Xenopus tropicalis: one gene and its partner. The protein of the gene in region 2 interacts with the protein of the main gene of each other region in a pairwise test. Links are inferred from orthologs where the notes say so. Each region holds a gene or a part of one and is shown on either strand. Other genes may lie near its edges.

What was found.
Region 1: the proteins of efhc1 (region 2) and kctd4 interact in binary tests that used the Homo sapiens proteins (3 or more experiments, as listed by UniProt). The two-hybrid records come from large-scale screens. The link is inferred for Xenopus tropicalis from reciprocal best matches to the Homo sapiens genes EFHC1 and KCTD4.

What each region holds. Positions count from the first base shown.
Region 1 is NC_030678.2:133,874,928-133,879,470, forward strand, and holds kctd4 (BTB/POZ domain-containing protein KCTD4), read right to left. Parts: upstream 3,088-4,543; 5' UTR 2,936-3,087; coding exon 2,162-2,935; 3' UTR 1,397-2,161; intron 1,058-1,396; 3' UTR 246-1,057; downstream 1-245.
Region 2 is NC_030681.2:150,467,486-150,471,742, forward strand, and holds the start of efhc1 (EF-hand domain-containing protein 1), read left to right. Parts: upstream 1-1,223; 5' UTR 1,224-1,409; coding exon 1,410-1,472; intron 1,473-1,788; coding exon 1,789-2,010; intron 2,011-4,257. UniProt on the Homo sapiens protein: Microtubule inner protein (MIP) part of the dynein-decorated doublet microtubules (DMTs) in cilia axoneme, which is required for motile cilia beating.

The DNA of each region.
Region 1 (4,543 bases), on a different chromosome or scaffold from region 2:
ATTGGTGAAATAGCAAGCTAGTTCCAAGATACAGCCATTTTAGCCATTTAGTCTGTCTGCTTCGGTATCAGGCATGTGTCTAGGAAGCAGCTTATTAAGACCAACACTTGTACCCTTATGGCTCATACACATAACTGAATTATTCATTCTTATAAGATGCATTTTTAATGCTTTTTGAATGCAAATTTAATCTCAGCTTTACTCACAAGTGTTCAAACGTTTTCACTCTTTTGGGTTCTTAAGCTTTTTTTTTTTTTTTTTTTATAAACCCAGCATGCGCAATTTTCTACTGTTTGATGATTGTTCTAATTACACTTGCTTCTGTGAAAAACTGCAAAATGCATAAAAACAAGGCATATAAGTCCATTGTGGTTACATTTGTGGTTATATGTGCGTATATTGTGTTTAAAATTGAAAAAACATATACACACTTGGTGGGTACTATGTTGCGTAAGAAAGCACTGATTGTTGTTGTTGCAAAAGTTTTCAGGTCTCAGAGCTACAAGTGTTTGTGGCAGGAGAATTAAAAAATATGCTGTCATTTCTTCATGATGTTTTGTGTATGTGCTCAATGACAGACAGCTCAAATCAATACCTTTTGGGAAATTGTATAAAGCTATGGGTGTAATTAAGTGCTGCATATCGTAATCCAGTCATAATTACAATCAAAATCATGTAAAAATGCTCTGCAGTGTTGTAATTAAATCATTCACAAATCAATGGAAACCTCTTAATACATTCTTTTCATTACATATTTCAAAGAAAAAATCATTTTAAAAACACAGTATGAAAAACCATGGAAATGTGCATCAAATATAACATAATATATTCTTTGCTACATGCAGTGTTAGCAAGGGTTATACTCCAGCTGCCAGAAAACTTGATAAAGGCTTTTCAGACTGCTTCTGCACATATACTTTTATTTTTTTAAACTCCTTGCTAGTTATTGAATGAATGCAGTGAAAAAAGTATGTATATATAATATATTGTCATATATGCTTCTTTGTTATACCCTAGTCACAATGTTTCTGTGTAGATCTTCAGCTATGGTGTAATGCAGCGTTTTTCAACCACTGTTCCGCGGCACACTAGTGTGCCGCGAGATGTTGCCTGGTGTGCCGTAGGCAGGGCACCAATGTACTAGGGGGGCACTGCTGCTGGGCACCAATGTACTAGGGGGGCACTGCTCTTGGCACCAATGTACTAGGGGGGCACTGCTGCTGGGCACCAATGTACTAGGGGGGCACTGCTCTTGGCACCAATGTACTAGGGGGGCACCGCTGCTGGGCACAGAGTTAAATTTTTTAACATTTTCTAATGGTGGTGTGCCTCGTGATTTTTTTCATGAAACAAGTGTGCCTTTGCCCAAAAAAGGTTGAAATACACTGGTGTAATGAAAATTAGTTGGTAGCTACATATGAATTGTCTGCTACAATATGCTACTCTAAAATAACCAGGCAACCTAAAAATGTTATAATTTTCATGAGTTCTCTGTACTACATTTTTACCCGAAATAACCATTTTTGAGTTATATGTAAACATGCAAAGAGAACAGTCACATCTAAGATCTTTTGAAATACATGCACAAAAATACTTCTCTGGGATTCATCCTTAGTATAGGAACTACAGTTATACAGTCATTTTTGTGAGGGAAAAATCTATTTTACAGTCACACAAGATATACAGTAATAACATTAGGTGCATTTTGGGGAATATGACTGTTTCACAATGCTGATTTGAAGCCAAGACTGACATTGTGCTTTAAAAAAAGATGTTGAAAGCTGCAAGATTTTCACAGAGAGCTGTTAAGAACAATTTCATCTGATTAAATGTGTCTGTTGTTACACATAATAGTGCGCAAACATGATTGCAAATGACAGCAGTGAAGGGCAAATATTTTAGCAGCATAAAACCATTTATTTACAGTGAATATGTTCTAAAAACCTGTTAGACTTCCTTTTACACAAAGAGCAGGATTTTCTGCAGTCAGGAGTTAATTGTCATTTTGGGTGACATGTACATACCGTTGGCTCACATGTATTCATGTGCAGCACAGCTCTTTGCTTGCTCACGAGTCAGGTACATGATGTGAAGCCAAGGAGCTGCTGCTTAATGAGGCTTGGCTGGATCCTCCGCTGCCTTTTGTTTAGTGAAAAAGTAATTACTTGATAAAATGAAGTGCATCGCTCTGAACAATTGACCCTTTCGAACAATCCAGGCTAGTCAGGAGTCTGAATCCACACTTCAGTGCCATCATAATGGCTTCGAACTTAAGAGTTTCCAGCGTGCAAACAAAGGTGTTGTCTTCCTTCAGTACGAGACGTGTCCCATTTTCTGATTTGATGAAATATTTGAATTGAATAACGTTCGAGGAAACGCAGAATTCCTCTGGAAATCCATCCAGCCTGCTTTTGGAAACCAGCACAATGCGAGCTTTTATTTTGGAGATGAAATCAGGGGCATTGCAGAAGATCCGAAGACCCTGAGACCGATCGTGGTGATCTGTTATTTCCAAAAAAGTGGTTTCCCGTGCAGCCTGCTGCTCTTTCTCCCATCTAGCTTTCACAGCTGCATTAAGTGCCTTCAGCTTGAAAAAATCTGCTTCATGTGCCAAAAGATGGTTTTCTTTGAAACCCTCTGGTAACAAGAGTTCCCCATTTCGTAAAAAGTTCAGAACATGCCTAAATAGTAGCCCGTCTCTGTCTATGAAGTAATGTCCGTCTGCATCAATTGGGCAGAAAATTTTCCTATTGACCACACCTTCAAGGTAAGAGTCAGGGTACTTGGAGAGAGTCTGTTTTTGTGTGATGTACAGATAGCCACCAACGTTGAGAGTGACAAGGGATGTTTTACAGTTTGTACTCGGGTCTCCATCTTCTGAATTGTGACATTTATCATCACAGTCTTTGTCTGTTCTGTTGATTCTGCGTTCCATACTGATCAGCTGCGTGCTACAATAGCAGTCTGGCCTTGCTTCTTGTTTGGTTGTAAAGAGAAATAAAAAAAAAAAAGAACCCTATTCAGCCCTGCCACGATGATGGAATGAAAATGCTGCCAGCATTGCATGAGTTGTCAGCTTGGTTTTGCAGTAGGTGGCGTATGAGCTATGCAAACAGCAAGATATCACCAATACAGCTGGGAAAAATGCGATTTGCATTTAACTGTGTCAGGGCAAAATCTTAACTGTGAACACTTCTCTGATAATTCATCTGTTAGTTCTAGACATATACAAAAAGGGAAATCTAAAATGGCCATGCAGTTCTATTAATAACTTTGTACCAATACTAAATAGTTATTATGCAGGTGATAGTACCATTAAAATAAAGGAATTTTGTGAATAAATATAAAACTGTGGTCAATATATATTTTTTTTTTTAAGTCTCAAAATCTGGCTGCATTTTTTTAAATGTCTGATCGAAACACAGTGAGCTGTATTATCCCATCATTATTTGCTAAACATTACACTGTTTGAGCTTCTGGCAGTGAAACTATTAATCAGGAAAGCCTTGGCCCTTGTGCACACAGTGGGGACCTGTTATCCAAAGGCTTGCAACCTGAGGTTTTCCAGATAAGGGGTGTTTCTGTAATTTGGATCTCCATGCTACTAAAAAAAAAATGTAAACATTAAATAAACCCAATAGGATTGTTTTGCCTCCAGTAAGGATTAATTACATCTCAGCTGGTATCAAGTATAAGGTACTGTTTTATTATTACAGAGAAATCATTTGTAAAAAATTTTGTTTAAAATAGAGTGAATGGGAGATGGGCTTCCTGTATTTCAAAGCTTTTTGGATAACAGGTTTCCCGATAATGGATCCCATACCTATAGTAGTTTACCAAACTGGCACATAAGAATATTAATTGAGAATATTAATAAATAGGTTTAACATCTACTAACAAATGTTGTCATTACCAAACCTGACTAGGTTCAAGGTTGATAATGAGTGTGTCTGTAATGCATGCATACATATCTGTATATGTACCCTTCAAGGTAAACCCACAGGAAGAATTGCTGAGCTGTTTGTCTGCTGCATTTAGCACTGGAAAATATGTATAGTCATGGCACGCATTTCATATGAAATATCCAACCATCATGTTGGATAATACTTTCCTGTAATTTTACTGTAATTGCAGCAAGTTGCCTCTATACATAACCTGTTCAAGGGGAGCAGTATTAATAATTTGTTTGATTTGAACCAGTTATTATGTTACTACAAAATTGCTCCCAACCGTGTGACACTGTTATTGGCTTGTTGTTGTAATGTGCAGTCATGGCCAAATATTTAGCCTCGGTCTCTGTTTTATGTACAGGCACATTCAGAACAATTAGCTGGTGCTATTTTCATTACTAGCTGCCATTTATTATGGCTATCTGCCTGCATGGTAATTAGTGCAGAACACATATGGAGCTCAAAATGACACTGATGGAGTTCAGTAAGGTCGATTTTTGATCAAATGCTCCAATTGATTCCAGTTTGGGTGGTTTCCTTGAACAAAGGATCAAATAGGAAAGTCAGCTGTCTTTGTGACATGTTTGAGGCAT
Region 2 (4,257 bases):
CCGTTATCCGGAAACCCATTATCCAGAAAGCTCCTAATTATAGAAAGCCTGTCTCCCATAGACTCCATTTTAATAAAATAATTCAGATTTTTTAAACCAATTAAATTTTTCTCTGTAATAATAAAACAGTACCTGTACTTGATCCCAACTAAGATATAATTACCCCTTATTGGGGGCAGAACAGCCCTATTGGGTTTATTTAATGGTTAAATGATTCCCTTTTCTCTGTAATAATAAAACAGTACCTGTACTTGATCCCAACTAAGATATAATTACCCCTTATTGGGGCAGAACAGCCCTATTGGGTTTATTTCATGGTTAAATGATTCCCTTTTCTCTGTAATAATAAAACAGTACCTGTACTTGATCCCAACTAAGATATAATTACCCCTTATTGGGGCAGAACAGCCCTATTGGGTTTATTTCATGGTTAAATGATTCCCTTTTCTCTGTAATAATAAAACAGTACCTGTACTTGATCCCAACTAAGATATAATTACCCCTTATTGGGGCAGAACAGCCCTATTGGGTTTATTTAATGGTTAAATGATTCCCTTTTCTCTGTAATAATAAAACAGTACCTGTACTTGATCCCAACTAAGATATAATTACCCCTTTTTGGGGCAGAACAGCCCTATTGGGTTTATTTAATGGTTAAATGATTCCCTTTTCTCTGTAATAATAAAACAGTACCTGTACTTGATCCCAACTAAGATATAATTACCCCTTATTGGATGCAAAACAATCCTATTGGGTTTATTAATATTTTACGGATTTTTTAGTAGACTTAAGGTATGGAGATCCAAAATACGGAAAGACCCCTTATCCGGAATACCCTTGGTCCCGAGCATTCTGGATAATGGGTCCTAAACTACCACTCATAAAAGCCCTTAGCAGCCATATTTGCTAGGAGACCATCCAGGTTGGAATTTTTCCCTTCCCTGCTAGTCTGACCCTGGGAACTGCCCATCGTTGCTGCTGAGTGCCAGCCCTGTGGAGTTGGGTTAAGTTTCCCTTTCATATACAGCAGCACATTGTGCCATATACAGGGGGTCCTGTGAGTGCAATACAGAGAGAGCGCAGACCCACAGGCAAGACCCAGTGAAACAGACAGTTGGGTGCAGGCACAGCACAGGCAGTTGCAGCTCTGAGGGGGCGGAGCTACAGACTGTTTACTGACACCATGGAGACTGGATGCTGCTGCTGTGTGTAACCTGGAGACTGGGAGCTGTGTGGGGAGACAGTGAAGGGACAGACAGGCTTTAGGGATACAGGGAGACGGGGGGAGAGTCCCACACAGGGGAACACAGGGAGCCCAACGGAAAGGCAGAGAGAGAGTGTGGGCCCCCCCAGCAGGGACCAGTTTAAGCAGAAAGTTTGAGGGGAGCTCCCCCCATTTACTGGGCGCCATGGCTTCTTATCCCGTGCACGGACTGCCCTTCCTGCCTGGGAACACCTACAGGGACCCCACGGTAAGTACCAGTGTCTTCCCATGCTGCACCTGGGCGGCTTTGGGAGTGTAGAGCTGTATTTGTTGGCAACATGGTGATGTAAAGTATTGGAGCGATTTGTATAATAGATTTGTATAATAAGTTTTATCCTTATCTGGGTCTGTTTTGCCCTCTCTGATCCAGTTGTACCATGTGACATACAAACAGAATGGAGGGTAAGTGGGTGGGGCCTGTAACAAGGGGTTCCTCATATCTATGGTGTTTGTATACTGTACCTACATGATGATCCAGTCTTTGGAACCGTAATCATCAGAACCTTGTGCCGATTCTGTTCCAGAAAAGCGCATTTCACCGCTCCCAGACCTTAACCTACAAAAACGGTTACAGTCGACCCATTCTCCCCACTGTCGGCATTGGACGGGAACCCATCACAGCCAACCAGCTGTCCCAAGCCGAACTAGATGAGCTGGCCAACAAAAGGCCAACACTGACCTATGGGCGTGCCAAGCCGGCCCCACCATCAGATTTCATCCCTTCCTATGTGGCCTTTGATAAAAAGGTAAGGTGTAATAATGGTAAGTTCCCATAAAGCAGTGAAGAACCACTTTAAGCACCATCCAGAGGGTCATGGCCCTTATTTATTTTATAAGCAAATGCAATAACCAGGGCCCCAAATCCCCCCCTAACTGGCCTTCAGGCTGGGCCTCCTTAGCCCATAACAAGGTTACAGATATATAGAAACATTGGGGTAACAGTCACCCTGCTATAGTTCCAGGGGTACCCAGGGCACAAATAAGCACTCACCCCAAATCCCCCCTAACTGGCCTTCAGGCTGGGCCCCCTTAGCCCATAACAAGGTTACAGATATATAGAAACATTGGGGTAACAGTCACCCCGCTATAGTTCCAGGGGTACCCAGGGCACAAATAAGCACTCACCCCAAATCCCCCCTAACTGGCCTTCAGGCTGGGCCCCCTTAGCCCATAACAAGGTTACAGATATATAGAAACATTGGGGTAACAGTCACCCTGCTATAGTTCCAGGGGTACCCAGGGCACAAATAAGCACTCACCCCAAATCCCCCCCTAACTGGCCTTCAGGCTGGGCCCCCTTAGCCCATAACAAGGTTACAGATATATAGAAACATTGGGGTAACAGTCACCCCGCTATAGTTCCAGGGGTACCCAGGGCACAAATAAGCACTCACCCCAAATCCCCCCCTAACTGGCCTTCAGGCTGGGCCCCCTTAGCTCATAACAAGGTTACAGATATATAGAAACATTGGGGTAACAGTCACCCTGCTATAGTTCCCGGGGTACCCAGGGCACAAATAAGCACTCACCCCAAATCCCCCCTAACTGGCCTTCAGGCTGGGCCCCCTTAGCTCATAACAAGGTTACAGATATATAGAAACATTGGGGTAACAGTCACCCCGCTATAGTTCCAGGGGTACCCAGGGCACAAATAAGCACTCACCCCAAATCCCCCCCTAACTGGCCTTCAGGCTGGGCCCCCTTAGCCCATAACAAGGTTACAGATATATAGAAACATTGGGGTAACAGTCACCCTGCTATAGTTCCAGGGGTACCCAGGGCACAAATAAGCACTCACCCCAAATCCCCCCCTAACTGGCCTTCAGGCTGGGCCCCCTTAGCCCATAACAAGGTTACAGATATATAGAAACATTGGGGTAACAGTCACCCCGCTATAGTTCCAGGGGTACCCAGGGCACAAATAAGCACTCACCCCAAATCCCCCCCTAACTGGCCTTCAGGCTGGGCCCCCTTAGCTCATAACAAGGTTACAGATATATAGAAACATTGGGGTAACAGTCACCCTGCTATAGTTCCCGGGGTACCCAGGGCACAAATAAGCACTCACCCCAAATCCCCCCTAACTGGCCTTCAGGCTGGGCCCCCTTAGCTCATAACAAGGTTACAGATATATAGAAACATTGGGGTAACAGTCACCCCGCTATAGTTCCAGGGGTACCCAGGGCACAAATAAGCACTCACCCCAAATCCCCCCCTAACTGGCCTTCAGGCTGGGCCCCCTTAGCCCATAACAAGGTTACAGATATATAGAAACATTGGGGTAACAGTCACCCTGCTATAGTTCCAGGGGTACCCAGGGCACAAATAAGCACTCACCCCAAATCCCCCCCTAACTGGCCTTCAGGCTGGGCCCCCTTAGCCCATAACAAGGTTACAGATATATAGAAACATTGGGGTAACAGTCACCCTGCTATAGTTCCCGGGGTACCCAGGGCACAAATAAGCACTCCCCCCAAATCCCCCCCTAACTGGCCTTCAGGCTGGGCCCCCTTAGCCCATAACAAGGTTACAGATATATAGAAACATTGGGGTAACAGTCACCCCGCTATAGTTCCAGGGGTACCCAGGGCACAAATAAGCACTCACCCCAAATCCCCCCCTAACTGGCCTTCAGGCTGGGCCCCCTTAGCCCATAACAAGGTTACAGATATATAGAAACATTGGGGTAACAGTCACCCCGCTATAGTTCCAGGGGTACCCAGGGCACAAATAAGCACTCACCCCAAATCCCCCCCTAACTGGCCTTCAGGCTGGGCCCCCTTAGCCCATAACAAGGACAGAAATAGTGGGGGGCAGAAGGGATGTGAAGCGCTAAAGGTTCTAAACCCCTAGGTTACAGAAGAGCAATTGCATTATTTCCCCTGTTGGACCAGCGCAACATTTTCTCAGCAGCCTGGTGACCCAGTAGCCGTAAGGGCCATTGGCCAGGAGTAGGCCATTGCCAGTAAGTGATTCATTCTCCATAATCTTTC